Mus musculus: one gene and its partner. The protein of the gene in region 2 binds, or shares a complex with, the protein of the main gene of each other region. Links are inferred from orthologs where the notes say so. Each region holds a gene or a part of one and is shown on either strand. Other genes may lie near its edges. The genes, in order: Ctbp1 and Rai2.

What was found.
Region 1: the proteins of Rai2 (region 2) and Ctbp1 are in contact, whole or in part, in a cryo-EM structure (PDB 8ARI), measured with the Homo sapiens proteins. The link is inferred for Mus musculus from reciprocal best matches to the Homo sapiens genes RAI2 and CTBP1. Residues at the interface, in NP_001166210.2 of Homo sapiens: Glu315, Ala316, Leu317, Asp318, Leu319, Ser320, Met321, Lys322, Trp326; in NP_001319.1 of Homo sapiens: Arg36, Cys38, Met42, Val51, Ala52, Phe53, Cys54, Asp55, Gln57, Gln60, Glu61, His63, Val66.

Annotation. Positions count from the first base shown.
Region 1 is NC_000071.6:33,243,111-33,253,539, forward strand, and holds the end of Ctbp1 (C-terminal-binding protein 1), read right to left. Parts: intron 7,963-10,429; coding exon 7,748-7,962; intron 7,392-7,747; coding exon 7,261-7,391; intron 6,605-7,260; coding exon 6,477-6,604; intron 6,115-6,476; coding exon 5,997-6,114; intron 5,577-5,996; coding exon 5,390-5,576; 3' UTR 4,613-5,389; downstream 1-4,612. UniProt on the Homo sapiens protein: Corepressor targeting diverse transcription regulators such as GLIS2 or BCL6. Has dehydrogenase activity. Involved in controlling the equilibrium between tubular and stacked structures in the Golgi complex.
Region 2 is NC_000086.7:161,713,443-161,723,774, forward strand, and holds the start of Rai2 (retinoic acid-induced protein 2), read left to right. Parts: upstream 1-3,593; 5' UTR 3,594-3,825; intron 3,826-4,110; exon of another isoform or gene 4,111-4,420; intron 4,421-10,332.

The DNA of each region.
Region 1 (10,429 bases), on a different chromosome or scaffold from region 2:
AAGTGCTAAATGCTAGGACCTACCATCTTTCAGCCCTGTTAGTTTTAGATCATTCCTTGTAGGAAACCTTTGCTTCTGGACCCAATTAATCCAGACATCAACTATCTTGGTCCAAAGCCCTTGTTCCTCAACAAGTTAAGGAGCCTGCCCATATGGTGGTGACCACTTTGGGGCCTCCTAGATGTTCTGCATGCTACCCATTGGACACCCTATTTTTTCTTTATGGGTCACATCCTTCCTTCACCTCAGCAGACTTTGGGTCCTCAGGGAAGACAGCCTGGGTTCTCAGTAGGTAGTTCCTCTCAGGTGAAGACATGTGGTTCAGTTTAATACAAGAGCAGAACAGCTGCTGTGAGTGAGGGGACGGGGCATTCCTGACCTTGGTCTCAGAGCAGCCGGAAGGAACAGGAGGAAATGATGTACAACATGTGCCACAGGTAAAAGTATAAGCTCCCAAACCATGCAAAGAACTCTTGCAAATCACTAAGAAAAAGCACCGGGAAGAACTCCCAAAGTAAAAAATAAAAAAGGCATGTATGTCTGAGAAAGTAACAAAGGGTGAGCACAAAGGTTATAACAAGCAGGAAAATGTACAAGGAAGCCATCTGTACAATGGATTTATTTACACAATAAAAATGGATGAAGGCAGCTGGGCGTGGTGGCACATGCCTTTAATCACAGCATGCCTTTACTCAGGAGGCAGAGGCAGGCGGATTTCTGAGTTCGAGGCAGCCTGGTCTACAGAGTGAGTTCCAGGACAGCCAGGGCTACACAGAGAAACCCTGTCTGGAAAAAAAATTGGATGAAGGGCCGGGGAGACGACTCAGTGGGTAAATCACTTGCTGTGCAAGAATAAAGCTGACATTTAAATCCCCAACATGGCAGATGGCCGTGGTATAATCCCAACACACGGGAGGCAGAGGCAGGGAAACCCTGGAGTAAGCTGACTACTTAAGACTAGCCAAATCAATGGACTCTGGGTTCAAATGAGAGATCTTGCCTAAGTACACAATGTGGAGAATGGCCAAGGAACCAGCATCAACCTCAGGTTTCCACACTCATGTGCACTTACTTACATGCACAACTATACATCTATGAGCACCACACACATATAAACATGTATATACACATGCACACTCATGCAAATGTACCTACAGATGGAAACATATATACGTATGTACAATACACACACACACAGAGAAAGGCTTCACAAGTCATAGAAAAGGAATGGTAGGCACAGGCACCATGTCACCATGTGACTGGATTGTGAGCCTTGAGGATCTGCATGCTGAGGGGCTGTGAGAAACAGGCACTGCCATGCAGTGAAAGAGCTGTAGCATGAAACTTTCTCCTCAGATTGCTCACAGCTGTGTCTTTGACCTCCACCCCCGGGAATCAAACCACACATGTGCTCACCCATGACAGCCTGCTGACCCAAGACGAGCCACACACCAGAGCTGAATGGAGGTTGTGAGTAAGCCGTGCAGAACCCCATGCAGACATCCAACGCTGACACTACAAGATAACTGCTTAAATGAGAAACACACTGCCTGAGGGTGAGACAAACCAGGATGCTTTGACGACTTTTGTTTATAAACTTTTCTGATGAGACACAAACCAGTCCAGGCCTGGGAAGGCCTGTGACCTTCCATCCTTCTGTACTTCTTGGATATTGCTCAAGGTGACCCATGAACAATCTATTAGAAATTTCTAAATCTTTATACACTGTGCTGGTTGATTTTGTCAACTTGGCACCAACCTAGCTATATCTGGAAAGAGGGAATCTTAACTGAGAAAATGCCTCTATAACATTGGCCTCTGGGCATCTTGATTAATGACTAACATGTCCACTATTGGTGTCACCTGTAGGCAGGTGACCCTGAGTTGTTTAAGGCAGACTGAAAGCCAAGAGGAGCAAGCCAGTAAGAAGCATTCCTCTATAGCCTCTGCTTCAGGTCCTACCTCCAAGTTCCTGCCTTGAGTTCCTACCCCGACTTATTTCAGAGATGGAATGTGAACTCAGGATTTATAAGATAAAACCCTTTCTTCACCAGCTACTTCGAATCATGGTGTTATACCTCAGCCAAAATATAAACAAACAAACAAACAAACAAACAACAAAAACCTTAAGAATCCTCTCTCTGAAGCTGTTTATCAGGTTTAGGAGTTCTCTGGTGGAATTTTTAGGGTCACTTATATATATACTATCATATCATCTGCAAAAAGTGATATTTTGACTCCTTCTTTTCCAATTTGTATCCTCTTGACCTCCTTTTGTTGTCTAATTGCTCTGGCTAGGACTTCGAGTACTATATAGAATAGGTAGGGAGAAAGTGGGCAGCCTTGTCTAGTCCCTGATTTTTGTAGGATTGCTTCCAGCTTCTCTCCATTTAGTTTGATGTTGGCTACTGGTTTGCTGTATATTGCTTTTATTATGTTTAGGTATGGGCCTTGAATTCCTGATCTTTCCAAGACTTTTATCATGAATGAGTGATCCTGGGGAACAGGAGGCCATCATGGCCATCTGTATAAGTTACTCAGGGCTCAGGTCTGTGTGGTGGGTGGGAGTAGAGGAGCAAATGTGGACTCAACTTAGTGTTGGTTCAGGAAAGACTCAAGGTTCCCAGCTGGTCAGTGCATGATGGACCAGGCCACCCCCTATCTGGGCATCTGTAGAGGCCTCCAGGGCGTGGGTCCAAGGTGGGAAGAGGCCAGGCAGGAAGGGGGCCACAGGGCCAGCTGGGGAGTGAACAGTCCTGCTCCGAGGGATTAGAGGTCTCCTCTGGGCCCTGGGCTCAGGCCCAGCAGACCAGATGGTTTTCTTTACACAGAGAGAGCCAAGAGTCAGAGGAGGGACTGGCAGCTGGCCTTCCTCCATTCTTGCGTTTTAATAGTTGTTTTTTGCTGGAAAATCCATTTCCAGAGTCACTCTGGGCTCTGAACCAGAGCATCAGGAAGAAGAGGGTGTTTCCTGGCCTCCTTGGGCCCATTCTGGGATCAGTGTGAGGCCAGATTGAGGTGGCCACAAGAAGTGGCTGGCTACTGCTGTGCCCCTGCCCAGGCTGCCCTAGAATGTCCACCCTCTCCCAACTACTTACCCAAACAGAGGGGTTGAGAGAAGCCATAGAAGAGGATGGAGATAGGTCCCAGGTCCCTGAAACAGGTCCCTTTGTCTACACATCCTCGGGTCCTGCTTTGCTCCTTGTCCAGCCTGCCCAAATGCTGCTCTGGGCCTGAAGATAAGCCTCTCACTCCTGCTTCAGGACCCAACCTTCTTTTTGCTACCACAGAACTCTTGCATGCCCTATCATTCAGGTATCTTGGCTCAGTCTTTTCTAAAAACAGGTGTTACCAAGAAGTCTAAATACAAATCAGTCCCAGTTTGTGCCCCCATGATTTGTGCTTTTTGATCCAATTTGAGCAAACTAACCCTCTCTGACAGGTCATTCTACAGCTCTGCTCACTAAAGGGCGACGCTCCTTCATTTGGTCCCCTTGCTCAAGTCCTAAGCTCTCACACACATTTGCATGCACACACACACAGAAACATACACACTGTACCCCAATCTAGTCTCCCTTGGTTCCCTGTTCTTTTTAGCCCACTAATCTGTTTCAGAATTGGTCTACTGATACCATGCCTGCTTTGAGGGGGGTAGGGTGCACGCAGAGACCAGAGCAGAATGTCAGGTGTCATAGTCCATCACTCTTTACCTTGTGACAGGGCCTCTCACTAAACTGGAAGCTGTTTGGCTAGGCTTGCTTATCAGGAAGCTCCCTGACCTGCCTGTCTGTCTGCCAGTGCTGGGTTAACAGGTACATGTATGGCTTTTTTTACATGGGTGCTGAGGATTCAAACATAAGCCCTTGTGCCTACAGAGCAAGTGTATTTACCCACTGGGCCATCTCCCCAGCCACCACCTGCTTTTTACTATGCCCTAGTCTTAGAATTCCAGATGGCAGACATTCATTATCCATATAAAGTTGACCCATTAAAAACAAACAGCTGAGCTCTGGGATTGATGCTGCCTGTTCACTGAAGCTCCACAGTTCTACTCAGAAGGCTTGCTTCTACTTTCAACTATTTCAGCATCCACAGAGGCAGAGCCTCTTTGCTTTGGTTGATTTGCAGGCTGGACATTGATGCCAGGCTCAGATCCTTTTGGGAATTACTGTCAAATCAGTTCAGTGGATCACAGCCTGCATCTAAAGACAATGCAGTGGAGGAAATGGGAAACCGAATCACACACAGCCTGGCACTTTGCATGCAAGCTAAAACTTCTGTTTAGTAGTAATTTTCTGTTGAATTTCCTTCAGTGGGTTTTTCCAAAATGCCAGTCCAAGAGCTGCTGGCCTAGGGGCTGTTGTTTGGAGAAAAGGGGTGGTCCCACCACAGCCCTCCCTCCCTGTATGTAAGGATGGCCTCCCCAACCCAGGGCCCTCTATCCCCTTAAGATGTAGTGGGGACTATAGCCCTACCTGCTGCTGCCCTCTTCTGGGTCTCCCCAGGACTGCCTGCTCCACAGAAGATGAGTGGAGCAGGTCATGAGAGCTAGGACCAGAAGGGACCCACCAGTGCTCCCATTTGATGAAGCCATTAAAACTGGTGCCAGGCGTGCCGGCTCTTTCTGGGATTTTTATTTCTTTAAAATAATTCATACAAATGGTTACAGTCACAAACATGATTTTAACCAAAATATTGCTAGCCTACCACATGAGCAGGACGGCACCACGCAGGCAAGGGTCTGCCAACCCCTGCCTCCCCCAGGACAGACCCCGGTGGTCCTGAGCACCCTGGGCACTGCAGACGCCTCGGAGCCACTCGTGATGCCGCCTTCACTTGGAACAAGGGGTTCATGCCAAAATTAGGAAAAACAGCCTTTGTTGTTTTTCTAAATTATTCTAAAAATAAGACAAGCAGGTAGAAAAACAATGCACTGTGTGGCATAAAAAGAAAAACAGGAAGGATTCATTGTCCTGAGAAGTGTGCCGACGGCCACATTCCGGGGCACGTTCCAACGTAGAAAAGGAAAAATAATCTCAAACTGACTTGCTGAATGCTCCCTCAGGTTTTCTTTTTGTTGACAGCTAAGCAAACAAATCCTTTGTAATGTTCTAAAAACTGTACACAGACAAGAACATTCGTGATAGAATTAGCTACTAACTTCTTTTGCTTAAACGAGGAACGCAAAGGACACAGGACAGTGAGCCAGCCCACAGGACGGGACAACTACAATCAACTTGGGGACGTGCTTCCTCTTGCCCCGCCTAGTGCACGCCCGGGCCAGTCTCTGGAGTGCTAGGGCCCACACTGGATGCCACCTCTGCACACTTGGGTCCAAGAGCGTGCAGCACCCTCCACCAGGTGCCAAGGCTGGACAGCTCCTCACAGGCTACAACTGGTCACTCGTATGGTCTCTATCCGCCTCAGGCTTGACAGTCTGGCCAGGAGAGGGAGCGTGGGGTGGGTGGGCCACAGGGGGCAGGCCATGAGACAGGGACATGGCACTGGGAACAATCCCTTCCACAGCAGCTGGGATGCCAGTGGGGGCCACACTCACGACGCCTGGAGGGTACCTGCTGAGAGAGGAGGGCAGACGTGTGAGCTCTACAGAGACCCACCTGCTGCACACAGCCCTTTCTGTATGGTTATCAATGACCCCTGAGGTCCAGAAAAGTTGGAGGCAGTAAGCACTTGGTCAGTGCTGGGCAGCATCACAGCCTGGCTTCTCACATGAGGTCTTCCCCAAGCCCCATTCCCTGACTCCTTACTACTCTCTGGCCCAACAACAGTTCTGCCCAGCAGTCCTGTCTAGGAGGCCAAACCTCTTACCCCAAGAAAAGTAGACTGTCCCATCCAGCTCAATCCTCTAACATCCACAGGGGCCTTACATAAGGGTGTAGCCCCAGTCATATGACCCACTACTGCATAACCTACTAGCCAAGGTCCAGGTTTAAGCCTCATTGTCTTGCAGACTGTCCCCTCCCTTGCCTGCTCACCTGTAGGCAGCCCCATTGAGCTCAGGGTGCACCACAGCAGGGTCCATGCTGGCCCAGTGCGTGGCGGCTGTCAGGTGGTCCTTGTTGACACAGTTTTTCAAGCTATCTGGGATCCGGCCTAGGATGTTGGAAGGTACACCAGAGAGAGACAGCAATGTGGATTAAAACTGCTGCCTCTGTGGGGGCCAAGAGGCAGACCCAGAGCCACCTTCTTGCCACAGCCCTGGCTTACTCCCCAGGAACATCATAGGACCATCCACCTGAAAAGTCAGCTTCCAACCTGGAGACCTTAGCCCCATACATGTGCTCTCAGCTCACAAGCAGCTGATGGCATCCAGCACAGCAGGTCTTCATGTACGAAAATGATGTGTTACTCAACTTCACCCCAAGGGACTCCCCCACCATAAAAGAACAACCAAGTGTCACCTCCCCTTAACAGGCATAAAACAAACTTGCCAGCCTGATAGCATGGCTACCCACCTGTGATGGCTCGCCGGATTTCCCGGGCTGCCTCCTCTCTCATCTCAATGGACGCCTGCTCACTGTACCATGCAGCATGGGGTGTGCAGATGAGGTTGGGTGCATCCTTTAAGGGTCCCTGGCTAAAGCTGAGGATAGCACATACCCAGTCAGAGTGATCTGAGCACCCAAGTCTGGGAGGTGCAGAAGGCAACCAGCCCTGGGATGGGAGGGCCCCTGGCCTTTCCCAAGGCATCTGAAAAAGTGGAACTGCAGAACTAGCAAACCTACCCCAAGGTCTTAACAGTAAGGGGTAGAGGGGATTCTGAGCCTTAGAGGAAGAGCCCTGCTGTGGTGCTGGCACAGCCCTGCCCAGCAGAACAAACCCTAGGAATGAGGGCTCTCAGACAGACTCCACTGTGTTCTTCAGTGGCTAATCACTCAACTGGTCTGCTATCCCTTGATGGGCTTTGTCAGCTGCTGGAGCCCCAAGAAGGAAGTCAGCCCAGACTGGACTAGAGGCTGCATGCGAAGCCAAGCTAGTGTATGCCTTGGCCCCGCTGAGTCTGGGGACCATGGGACCATCATGGACATCAAGAGACAAACTGAAAATAAGCCAAGTCTAAGCCCAGCCCATTACTATGGCCAAGGCTAGACAGATTCTTGAGGATCTTGTCCCCTCCTGAGAGCAGACAGCAAACCCTCCCCTAACCCAGCCAGCAAGAGGGCAGTGCTCAAATACATGGTCTCCCACGTCATAGTCATCAGATTGGTGGGCATAGTCCATCTTAGGGCACAGGGGCACCTGAAGGGCTCTGACTCATGCACGTCCAGCGCTGCGCCACGGATCCGCCCTTCCTTCAGGGCCTGGGCCAGTGCCTTCTCATCCACCAGGCCACCACGGGCTGTGTTCACCAGAAAGGCTCCTTGTCTCATCTGAGAAGACAGGATGACCATGTGAGTGACTGACACTGGGGCTTTTCACTGTAATGGCACATCCACAACAAATCTCACTTCCCACCCACCAGGGGATGGCCTGATACAGACAAGTTCTGGGAGAGACCCTGGGCCAGGTGGGCAGTAGCATCAGCAAGTATACCCTGATGTATCAACAGAATGAGACAGGCCCAGGAATTTAACTACTGCTGCTGTCTAGGCCAGAGGCCCACTGTCTCCTGGGGGGAAGGGACAAGGGTAAACTCTGAGGGAAGAGTAGAGGGCTACACTGTGAAGAAGGGACAGCACTGCCCTGTGGGAGAGGGGAGGAGGGTGGTGGGGAAGCTGCAGCGTACCTGCTTGACAGTAAAGTCATTGATGAGGTGGTGGTTGTGCTCATTGAGGCCGCAATGCAGGGTAACGCAGTCACTGTGGAAGAGCAGGTCCTGCAGCGTGCTCACGCGCTGTAGCCCCAGGGCCCGCTCGATTCCATCAGATAGGTATGGATCATAGAAGAGGACGTTGAAGCCAAAAGCCTTTGCCCGAAGTGCCACCGCCTGGCCCACACGACCTGGCAGAGTCAAGAGGAAGTGAGACATGCATCCTCAGAGCTTGCTGCTAGCCTCACAGCCATAATTCAAGGGGCCTCCCAGGTAACTCTGCCTGCCTACCAAAGTTTCCCTAGATCTCTGGGATCTCAGTCACACACACTCTGCAGCACATCTGCTCCCTGGTGCTGAGGCACCACAATCAAGGGGTAGGAGGAATGATGCTAGCTGTCACCCTCCAGCAGCCTGCCATTGATCAGTTATACTCACTAATATATAAAGTCAATACACAATAAGCTTGGCCCCCTCCCCTGACCATTTATCAGTGGGTCTACTTATCAGACACCCTTGGAATCTCAATTCTGGCCACAAACAGCACATGTTGGAACCACACTGAACATTAGAATCCAGCAGCAGGTGTTTGAAGAGTTGGCTCAGAGGATAGGAGTGCTTGCTGCTTTTGTAGAGGAACCAAGTTCGATCCCCAACATTCATGTCAAGCAGCTTAGAACCACATTTAACTCTAACTTCAGAGGAATCTGACACTTCCGGCATTTGTGAACACCTGTACTCATATGAACATACCTCTTCCCACACACACACACATACAATAAGAAATAAATCTTGAAAGAAAAAATAATCTAGCAGCAGAGAGGGTACACTGTATGCAATGTATCTGCCACCTTCCTGGCCCAACTGCACAAATCCACATCAGGTGTCATCTGAGGCAAGCCTGGCTCTGTCGTGGGAGCCACAGGCTGAAGGGCATAGCATGGGGACAGCTCCATATATCCACACATCAACAACATGCTGGATACAGATGGAGCAGACAGCTGATAAGAGAATGCTGGGGACATAAGCCTCTCCTGCAGCATCCATCAAGAGACAAAGTTAATACCCACCAGGAAAAGAGCAAAGAGAACAGTCAGGCATGTTGGCAGGACACAGGCAGCTTTAAAGAGGTTAGCCAGGACAGCCTCCCCAGGAAACTCAAGTTTGCAGGAGACACAAAGGTGATGGGAGCAAGTGTGAAGACGCCACTAGAGCATCAGGACCAAGAGGGAGGGCAGGGCCCACCAAGGCTCTAAGTCCCTCCCAATGACTCTACAGGATTATGGCACAGAAGACAGGGAAGGTGCGTCAGGAGGGCCATGAAGGAATGCTAAAGCCAAGGGACACAGCAGTCACAGGCCAGGAGGGAGGCCTCTGCAGAATCCAAGTAGACTGACAGAGGGTCACAGAGAAGCTTTTAATACAGGACAGCTGCTGCTGAGAATGTGAGCAGTAGAGACCTGGAGAAAACCTCCCCATTGTGAAAGCTGGGGGCTGCCCTGAAAATGGGCAGAGGGCGCTCAAAGAGAGTTGTTTCCTGAGGTACCCAAAGCTGTCAGACAGCACCACCCCAGCACAGATATCCCTAACAGCACAGAACAATAATTTTAGGGATAAATGTCACTTACTTTGGCCTCTACTATTTCTTTCTAGACGAGACTAAGTATACCACAAACACTCTAACAGATAAGAGTAAGAACAAGCATATCCACAGACAGCCCAGCCAATGGGATCAGCTGGGAGGACTTCTGATACCTGCTGGGAACACGTGACAGCATCAGAGGCACATGTGAAAAACTGGAGAGGACAGTCAACTGTAGCAGAGAAATGGTCCTTACAAAAGACCCAGTCACCTGTTCGAGAGCTGGAAAAGCTATAAAGAATTCTGCAATGAAGAATCTATTAGAAGATCTAATACCAAAGACAGAACAGCAGCCAATAGAAATGACTCAAACTAAAGCAGAGAGAAAAATGCAGTTTATAAAGCACTGACCATCACAGCTAATGTCAAAGAGGCAAGAACAAAAAATGGTAGCAAGTGTGGCCCAGCAGGGTGTTGAGAAATGCCTGGAGAACCTGCAAACCAGGATCTAGGGAAACTGCAGTATAGCTCAAATATGCAAAGGCCAACTGTGTTTCTAAACACTACAGGAAATTAAAAACACAACTTGTTAACAGTAGTTATCCCTAAAACCAGGCTGGAGGGGTGGTACTTAGGTCCTATCACCAGCACTGAGGAAAGCACAGTAACAGGTTTTACAAACGCTGTACAAACATTGTGTATTGATCACTACAGAACTCTACTAAGAGAAATCAAAACATGAAATAATAGGATTATGTAATGTCTTGAGGACATGGTAAATTTTAGAGACCAGACTCTCACACCACCACAAGGACTAAACAAAACACAAACTGATGAGCTGATTCTAAAGTCAAACTATCAGAAATGAATGACATGGCCAGGTGTGGTGGTGCACACCTTTAATGACTTTAATTTCAGCACTTGGGAGGCAAAGGCAAGCACCTACGTGAGTTCAAAAAAGAATCTTAAACAACCCCTTACACTAAAAGAAAGAAAAAGAAATGAATGATATGGATGATGGTTTGAATAAAAATGGACCCCATAAGACTATAGGGAGTGGCACTATTAGTTGCCTT
Region 2 (10,332 bases):
CCCACTGTCTCCTGCTTAGATTTTGAACTCTAGACCTGCCTATATGGCTATCCAGCAGACCCATGACTCAAACCAAGTTACCTTAGAATTCTCTGGGTCAGATACTGTTTAACATTTCACTCACTCATTAGATGTTAGCTGTTACTATTTTCTCGTGTTCTGCATTCATGCATCTATCAGGATCTCTCTATACTCTCTATATGTTACAAGAACTCTCCCAATCTGCCAGAAAATAAGCACCCTTCACCTACCTTCTTCACTCTTCACCTCTTCATTGGGTGCCCAAGAGTTCTCCCATGGCTTTAAACTCCAATTCCCCAGAGTGAAAATTGGCTCCAGTAATGCACTCTTGCACTGACGTCTCAGTTTGCCTTCCTTACTTCTCTACTAGTGGTCTGTCCATCTCCAAGTCAACTTTTTACATTCTGGTCCCTGTGTCAGAATTGCAATAAATTTATCATCTCTACTGCCAGATCTGTTTCCCAGGGTCTTCTATCTCTCACTGAGTATACCCCACCTACTCTGGCACATGAATCAGCCATTCCAGTTTTTCAGGTCCCCAATCATTAGTTGATTCTATATATTGGCTCCAGTTCTCACTCTTCTTTGGTGCCTATACTATCTTGACTCTAGTTCTCATTATTGAAAATATAGACAGTCTTAATTTATCTTCCTGCTGCCAATCCCACCTACCCCCTCAATCATCCATTAACATCAAACAACAAACAGGTTAGTCCCCAATCTGTACCTTCCTTTATCACTTAATGCTTAGTACATTTTCATGGCTTCCATTCATTATATTGAAAAACTCCTTTATAGAACAGACCAGGGATCTCAAGTGACACCTAGCCTCCTCCTTTGCTAGTCTACAGAGTCACCATTCCAAATTCATAACATATTTAGTGTCTACAACATGCTTATATCCAAGCATTAATACCTCTTGTTCCTTCCATTTATACTGCTTTCCCCTTGTTTTGGAGAACTCCTGTTCATCTCTCAGCATTCCACACCTGTCAACATATCTGTTCAAGCTTTTCTGACTTCTCTACCCTACATCATTCCCCACTCTTCCTGGTAGATGTTTGCCTAGCCTGTTTCATAGCTTATTGTGTATCACATTCTTTGTGTGTGTGTGTGTGTGTGTGTGTATCACATTCTATCATGCTGTGTTAAACGTTATATATCAGTGTGCAAATTGGGGTCAGCAACCATGCATTAACCATCTTCCTAACTGACATTATAAACTCAGTGACTGGGTAATGAGTATGTGCAGATGTTTAAGTAAATATTGATTTACATTCATTATTTAAGTTTTAATTGTATATATTTACACAATTAATTTATACTTATATTATATAAATTTATATTTGTTGTTTAGAGTCACCAAATAATAAAATTATAGATCTCAAAAGCCAAGTTTGACCTGCCCTGGAAGACAGTTATTATTATTCTTTTCTGCTGTTTTGCATGTCCTTTCTTACCTCCACTTTCTTAAGCACTTCTTCCATATTCATGCTCCATTTCTTCCCCAAAGCACCCTCTAACCTCCAAACCAGACCAGCCCTTCATGGATCTCTCTCTCTACCCCATCTCTCTTCAAGAACAACCTCAGTGGAAATGTAGAACATGACAGTGTATATTTGGGGGGGATAGGAGTCAAGATGCCTGCTTTTTGCACTGGTCTAAATCAGTATAATCATTCTTGAAAGTATAGGTACCTCAAAGGGCAGCTATATGAATCACAACTGCCAGCGAGGATCAAACATTAACCAGCATTGTGATGAAGTCAACAAAAGAAACAGGCTAGTAATTGCCTTGCAGGATATATATCAAGTCTCTACCTTATACACACATTCCCCCACAACACACAGAAAGCCTTTATGGATCTTTCATCCATGAATTTTCTCAATTATAATTGCCCAGCTGTGTCTTTAGCTGTATTCAAGCCAGGTTCTGGCAACTGGCATATCACATATCTGATCCAAGAACCCTGACCAGAGAAAGCCAACTAAATGACTGAAGACATGTTCACAGGTAAATATTTCCACAGGTACTGTGTACTCTAGGGTGGTTTAAACTCCCAAATTCCATCTGAAAAGAAAAAGCAGGAAGATCAGCTGATAGTCATTTTTACCAGATCTCAAAATTTGATTATTTATTTTTCTGTCCCTGTATCAACTGACTTTTCATTAAACGAGCTCTTTTTCAAAAAAGAAAAATATAGTATGAAGGATGGGTACTAGCTGGGTGACTTCTACTAGTACTACAGTATTAGTTGGGGCACAGTATTCTGGAGGTACATACAGAAAAAAATCTAAGCATGTAAAAAAAGATACTTTAGTTAAACTGAATACATGCTATTTATCTTTACACAAATGCAACTATAGTGTAACTTTTAATATCCCTTTTATGGAAGACTTCCAAAGTTCCCACAGAGGTCATAATTTGGCCCTGGATGCTACTGGTTTGCATAATATCATGGTTAGAAGAAACCCTTATAAATGCAAGTGCAGGTCCCAGTATTAGTAATGAATAGGTGGGTTAAGGTGGGAGCTCTCTTACGAATTTTGTGTTCTTGTGGTCACCCCAAATTCTACTAGAGAAAAGCCACAATGCTGAGGCTTGGAGGGGTTTGAGTGTACAAAGGACTGTAAAATTCATACCGTTCTCTGACCTGGTTAAAGTAATTCCTGCCATACCATTCACTCTCAAATATCATCATCCTGTTTTAACAGGAAAAACAAAAACAAAAACAAAAACAAAAACTCAGCATCACTGAGGATTCATTAAACCAATGCAGTTGCTTCCTTTGCCTTTTTAAAACATTTTTTAAAGGATTTAGACTTAAAACAATTTTGATGACCAGTAATGCTATTGATTCATACTGTTTATTTATGGGTCACCAACCACGTATTCATCATGTCTATAACTCTAGTTCTTACACAACCCAGTATCTGGCAAACACTGGGTCCATAATAAATGTTAAATTAATATGTGAATCACATCTTGGTTAGAAATGATATTCTGTTTCTGGACTAATTTTGTCTTTGCTAATGTCCTGCCTTGGGAGTGCCATCTCTGACCTAGACCGCAATCCCCTGAGGCATATTAGGGAGGGTGGTAGCTGTTCCTTCTGAATGCTCCCATTTCTATCAACCACTTTCCCTTTCAGGGCTGTTCTTTTTTGCTTTTAGTCCTAAGGTCTAGAATGGTCTCCAGACTCCTGGAAGCAGCAAGGTCCCCACACCTCTGGGCCTTCCCAACCCGAGAGCACGCGGACAGACACAGACACACACGCATGCACGCGCGCGCATACACACACACACACACACACACACACACACACACACACACAGAGAGAGAGAGAGAGAGAGAGAGAGAGAGAGAGAGAGAGAGAGAGAGCTTGCCTCCAGCTCCCTAGCCTTCTGTCACCCCGCACCGCCCACAACCACGCCCTCCCCGTGGGCGAGATCACCTGTCCCTCCTCTGCCACCGCCTCCTCGGGTACCCTTTCGCACCCCCTCCTGCTCCCCTTCCTCCGCCACCTCCCCCAAGCCCTCCCCTTCCCCGCCTCCTCCCACCCCTTGGTGTATATAGTAAAGGCCAGGCGCTGCACGCAGACACACACTCTCCCGGACACAGGCAAACACGCACACACACACAACCGGCAGTGGCGGTAGCGACAGCGGCTTGGTGACAGCAGCGACAGGGGCTCCCATCCGCTGTGCACCCCCTTCAGGCGCCCAGCGGCGAGGCCAGACCCAGAGAGTTCCCACACTAGCGTCCACCCCGTGGCTTCCTGGAGGCGGCGGCCCGGATCCCGAGGTAGCGGCTGCGGGCACCCTAGTGCTGGTCGGGGTCACTCCCGCCCTCCCCAGGCGGACCTGCCACCGGGACGCAGGGGGCGCGCCGGGCTGGGCGCGCCTGGCGGGGCCGGGCACCCGGGGAGGGGCCTGCCTGCTCCTGGGGGCAGGACGGCGCCCAGAGGCCAGGGCCAGCGGGGAGGGCCGGGCGGGGGCGGGGACGCGGGCCGAGGCTACCACTTGTGCGGCTCGCCCAGGCCAGGCTCCCGCTGGCGGGCGCTACGCACTGGCCGGCCCGGCCGGGGACAGTCGGGAAGGCGGCGCCAGGCGGTGGGGCGGGGGCCCTGAAGTGGGTTTTGGGCCGCCACCCGCTCTGGCACTGGGCATAGAGGGCGGCACGCAGTGCACTCCGTGCCCGGGCACCGCACCGGGCTTGTCTCGGTATCTGCCATTCTGCCCCAGCCTGGAAAACCAGGCGCCTTCCAGGCCCTTCGAAAGATGGATTCTGTTGACGTATCTGGCGGCCCTGGCGAGAGGGGTGGAAAGTTGGGTTTTGCCAGATCGTGCTGGGATCTTCTTTGTGCCGCTGAGCAAGTCCCGCATCCCGCTGGAGCAGGGTGAGTGCCTGTCGGCGCCCTGGGAGCCCCGGTGCCCCACAGTGCCCAGACACGGGGTGGCTACACCAGCCCCGGCTTTCTGCCATGTTAGGCACCAAGCAGCGTTCTGGCTGCATTTTTTTTTTTTTTTTGTATGCGTGCATTTCAGTGGCGCCTTTTGCTGCGAAGGGAGTTATTGCTTTCCTGCGCGTTGGCTCCCCCAACCCCAACCCCCGGGGTTGGGGCTTGCTCTGTGTGTTTGTTGTTTGCCATTTAAACCCCTACTATTGTTCAGGATAAGCTCCGCCTGGGTGGGGAAATGGCATCCCACCACAGTTGTTGGCGAGGGGTCGAAATCTTGCCAAACAGCTGCTGCTTTGTGTTTCCCTATCCGAAGTCCGCGGAGTGGGTTTGGGGCAGGATGGATGGTGGAGAGACAGATAGGGCATGAAGGGAGACCGTGGCTTTGCGAAGACTGACTTGTCACCCACCCCATGGTGCTCAGTCAGCCTCTCTTCTGACTGACAAACTTTTATAAATATTTCTCTTTTAGAAGAGAGAAGCCTAATGAATTTAGCCGTTTTTTTAAAGGCGGCAATCCAGCTTTAACAATGGTTTGGGAACTTAATCAATGAGAAAGGGAGGGGAGGAAAAGAAGGCGCTGGCACCAAAGCGGGGAATGTGGCTGCTTCTTACAGAGTCAGGTAAAAGGGGGCCAGGGCTGGGCAGGGCAGGGCACAGCGCCTGGGTGGCCACATTCCTAAAACTATCAGTTGTTCTTACCTGTATCCGCTGGTACCACCCACGCTTGTGCCCTCACCTCTGGGCTGCCCGGTCCTGGCAATGGGCTTGAGAGGCGGCTTGCAGCAGGGAGAGGGCCAGCCTCCCTCATCTGGCGTTTTTTAAGGATGTGTAAATATTTTGCTGAGGATAAGTGACATCAACAGAATGATATTCCACAGAGCCCGGGTGTGCAGCAATGATAAATAGATACAGCCAAACAAAGTTTTGATAACCGCATATTCTCATGGCTCGCTCTGTTTCGTTTGGTCTTTGTTTTTGTTGGTTTAGCATTATCTCGCATCCTCTGGTGTGATCCCTTTATTTAGCCAATTCTTGGAAGCTTCTCCTTAGAACACAGAGAAAAGCAGCCAGCAGGGAGAAAACAATTCTTAGCCTCTCCTGCACCAGGCAGATTTTTCTTTGCTTTCCCAGGATCTCTTTCCCACCGTTTTCTAGCTGTCTTCCCTTCTCTCCTTTAGAGTCATCACAATTGCGTGCTGGTAGACCAAGGGACTTCAGCTAACTTTGAAAGCGTGTTGTGGCAGAGCCTTTGTTACAGTGGTATACCAGGGGACAGTAGAGAGGCTAGTGGGGAGGTAGCACCTCCCTAGGGTAGCACTATGCACCCATACCTTGATTTTTCTGCATATTTTTTCCCAGAAGAGAAATATGGGGAGCTGTGCTAGTTTCAGAAGCAAGGATAAGTTCGAAGGCACAGAATCATAAGCCGTTAGCCTGGTAACTTCCCAGTTTCTCTGGCCCTTAGGAGCTCAGTGAAGCTATACCCCAAGTTTAGACAGCCCCATACCCTCCCCACAGACACACTGTATTCTGAAAATGGCTATTCCCTTCTCAGCCTGACAGATGCCCACTGAGTGCATGCATGCCCAAGGTGGCTATGGCCCTTTGAGTCAAGCCACACTGAAACTTGTGGGCCAGGAAGCTGTTGACTGTTTTGGCACCAACTCAGAGGATCATTCAGCTTATCCAAGGAGGCTCCTTTATTATTCAAAGAAACCAAGACCACATGCAGGGAGGTTTGGCCCCAGGAAAACCTGCTCATCCCAGGAGTAAAAGAGAAAACAGTTTCCCGGGTGGTGTCCACTGCTTGCTTGAGAGCAGGTTGACAGGTGGGCACTTCCGTCTAGAAGTATAAAGCCAACTACAGCATCTTTTATCCAGAAAACAAACAAGCAAACAAAAGAGCAGAAAAAAAAGAAAGAAAGAGAAAGAAGAAAAAAAACAAATAAAAACAAACAACATAAGTTTGGGGGTATGTGAGCAAATGTAGCCTGAAGGCTCCAGTGTCAGCAGCCAGAAGAGTCTAGTTCCAATGACCCAGGAACTGGGAGACCCTTGACCCAGAATGGAGCTATTCTGTATATACAGACAGCCACACACAGGGTGTGCTCAGAAGCCACAGGAAGCAAATTGCAAGTGTCTGTTCTCTGGCTCCTCCTCTGACCTTAGATTAGTGGGGAGGAGGGAAGTAGAGAGAAATAAATCGGAAAGGAAGCTAACATTTGTTCTTGTCCTGTCTGCCAGACACTGAATCTGTGGCAAACCTTCTCTGTGACCCTGTGACCCCAGCGAAGCATTATTTAACAGATAATTCTCAGAGAAACTGTCAGCCCTGATCTGATTCCAGTGTTTGGTGTTTATGATTTAAACAGCAATATGTCTCTCTGCCCCTGCTCAAAGCCCCTTATTTATTTCTCCCAAAGGCCAGAGTCCTCAACCCATACCTCTTTCATAAAATATAGTACCTAAATTAGTGTGGTGTCTGTGAGTGTGTAGGTGGGTGACCCTCCAGTGGAGGCCCCCTCTTCACCTCTCTTGTGCACATGTGCCCAGTGGAGCCAAACCAGTTCCTAATTCAGGTGGTGCCCTTTTGTTTAAGAACCCACAAAGCCTACTATTATTAGCTAAATGAAAGTTGAGTGACCAAATGATGGAGTCGATGGAGTGAACAGTTGCAGAGAGGGAGCCATAAATCATTGTCAAGGGAGACACAGCAAGAGAGATCCAGGGGTTTGTATGTTTGATGGGGACTCATAGCTTTTGGTGTCATGCTCCTGTTGGAGCCCCATTCTGACAAACCCAGGTTTAATCCTTACAGCACTTATGTGAGACTGTGCGAACAGATAATTAATTTCATTGTACAGGTAAGGGACCTGAGATGTTTGAGGTACACGGTGAGACCAAATGGTAGGTGAGTTTTAATGCTTTGTTATTTCTCAAATACTAAATAAATATGAGGAGGGGGTTTGCTATGCAATTCCTTGGACCTCCTTCCAACCAGACGACAGCCTCTAGACCTTAGCAATTCCAGAACCACCAAAGAGTCAGGATTTGAATGCATAAAATGAGGGGCTTTGGACTGCTGCCTCTCTGATCAGAATGTGAGGAGTACCTCAGAGAATGAGGCTCTCTATGAGGGGAAAGATGGCTAATTGCTCTTTTCCCATGCATAAAAGCCTGTGTGGGCTTCTGAATTAGGCTTGATTTGGGGATCAGAGTGCCATCCTTGCTGTAGAGTTGGAAGCTCTTTGTCTTTGGAGAATGCCTCTGATTGCTACGTCTCCCTCCCACCAGATCATCTGCCTGGGCACCCATCATCCCATTCGTTTTCGTTCTGCACTCATGGCCTCTCTTCTGTGACTCACAATTTGTCTACTGCTCTCCTCTGTCTTCTGATGGCAGCTGGTGAGAAGGCCATTTTGGCAGCCACGTTAGTCCTTCTGGATGTCACACATGACCCTCCTCTTTCTTGCCAAGAACACACAAAAACACATATGCATGCACAGGCACAGGCATAGACACAGGCACATGTAATTTGATCATGTTTCTGTTTCTGTATCTGATTCACCAAATTAGATTGCTAACGCACAATTGTTATTGGAAGATGTGCTTGGCTTTGGTGATTTTCTATCACAGCCCCTGCCTTGAACAAATCAGAACAGTTAAGGTGGAGGTAGCTCAACCAGCAGCTGCCTAGAGCAATACTGGTTGTACTTAGTGGTTTCCCCACATCTGTGGGACTGCAGCTGAGATATATGCTTGATCTGTTTTAGTTTGTTTGGGCTACTGTTACCAAACTGGCTAAACTACATGTCTTTGAGCAATGGAAATTTATCACAGTTCCAGAGACTGTGAGATCCAGGATCAGTTTGCTATCAAACTCAGCATCTGGTGAAGGCCTTTAAAATTCATAGACAGTGACTTCTCACTGTTCTCTCCCGTGGTAAAAGGCCCAAGTAAATTCTCTGGACATTTCTGTTTCTGTTGCTGTCTGTCTGTCTGTCTGTCTGTCTGTCTGTCTGTCTGTCATCTCTGGAGCGAGAGACTGAATATCAGGGCCTTGTGCATATGAGGGAACTGTTCTACCACTGATGTACCTCTCTTCGCCTCTGAGGTCCCTTTATAAAGGCACTAATTCCCGTTGATGAGGGTTCCGCTCTCATGACCTAATCATTTCTTGGATGTCCCCACCTCTTAATGCCATTACCTAGTGAATTAAGATTTTAACAAATGAATTTTAGGGGTGGCACATCAATCTTCAGATCATGCAGCTTTACTGGGCATTTCTTAAATGCCCATTGGAATCTCCACTGGGCTTCCAGAACATCCCAGTCTTCATAGTTTCCATTTCTATTGTTATCATCAGCTTTAAGAATTCCAAACATATGAGAATTTCAGAGCACACCTTTTCCATGCCTGTCACCCTCCCCTCCCCACAGCTTTTCAGCCTTTCAGCTCAGCACTAATAGAATTTCTTAATGGTCATATTCTATATGAGTACTGTAGCATGCAAAAGCCATTGGTCCAATGGCTATGGAATGCTTGAGAGGCAGCTTGTCCCAAATTAGGTATGCTGTAAGTGCAATCTATCACTGGATTTCTGAGAGTACAAAAAGAATGCAAAATAGTTCATCTGGTGTTTGAAATATTGTGATGTGGTGAAATTATATTTTGGATATATTGGTCAAGAGACATAGGATTAAAATTAATATTGCTTGTTTCTTTTAATTTTGAATGCGACTACTAGCATATTCTAGAGTGCTCATCTATTTCTGTCAGACACCAGTGCCCTGGAGCATACTACCCACCAATGTTGTGATGTCATGGTACCTGCAAATATGCTAGAGAGTGGGGAGTTAAATACCTCTGTCTCTATGACAGATGGGAGGTCTTGTGCTGACTCAGTATGCACAATGGCTGACATTAGAAGATCGTGATTTTTCAGTAACTAAGGAGCCATTTGGGGAGTTCCCCACCAGGCATGCCTGTGATTCTGTTCTGAGAATCGTCATGGACTGCAAAAACCCACTGCAGAATTCAAGGCAGGGTAGGAGCCTAAAGGTTAGACTACTAGCTTGAACAAAATGGCTTCTTCCTTTTCTTTTGCTCTTGCTTCTCCAGAACACCCAGCCTATGCGCGCATTCTTTGGAGAATTAACTCCTGCCTAGACCGCTGACTTCTTTCACACCTGCCCTAGTAACAGCTTAAAGTCTTTCTCAGGGCTTTGTGCTTGGAGAAGAATGTGCCAAGTAGATAGGCTCATGCTAAGAGTGGGTTGTTTTGAGCTGGGGCCATCCTTAAAGAAGAAAAGAAGATTCACACTCAGTCATTTTCTGACAGCTTCATGTGAGCAACAACAAAGATACAGTTTCTGTAAGGAACACAGAGTGATGTCAAAGAAACCCAATATCGCTCGCCCTGATGATACCACAAATAAGGCTACCTGAGGAAACCCTGAGAGTGGGAGAAGGGGTTTCAGCTGGCACTGTGGGATCATCTCAGCCATGCCCATGCATTCCTGGGCCCTTCCCCGGGTGCTAGGCAAGGCTTGAATAGATGGGAGAGGGATGGAAGAATGAACTTGGGACCCTGGTGATTTATAGGTCGGGCGCCTGTGGCTCTGGCTCCTGAGGGCGCTGCCCCCGCAGGGAACCCTTGGCTGACCTCCTCAGGCTCCTCGGAAGGAGCTGCTTTTGTTTCCCATGGCAGAAGCAGACTGTTTACTGGAGCGCAGGAAGAATCCGACATTCTGGCGAAAAATAATTCATTAACAGCCAGGGTATTACCAGTTCCCTGGAAAAGCTTCTCCAGCTGCACTAGAGCAACTGTTCTTTTTCAGCAACAGAGC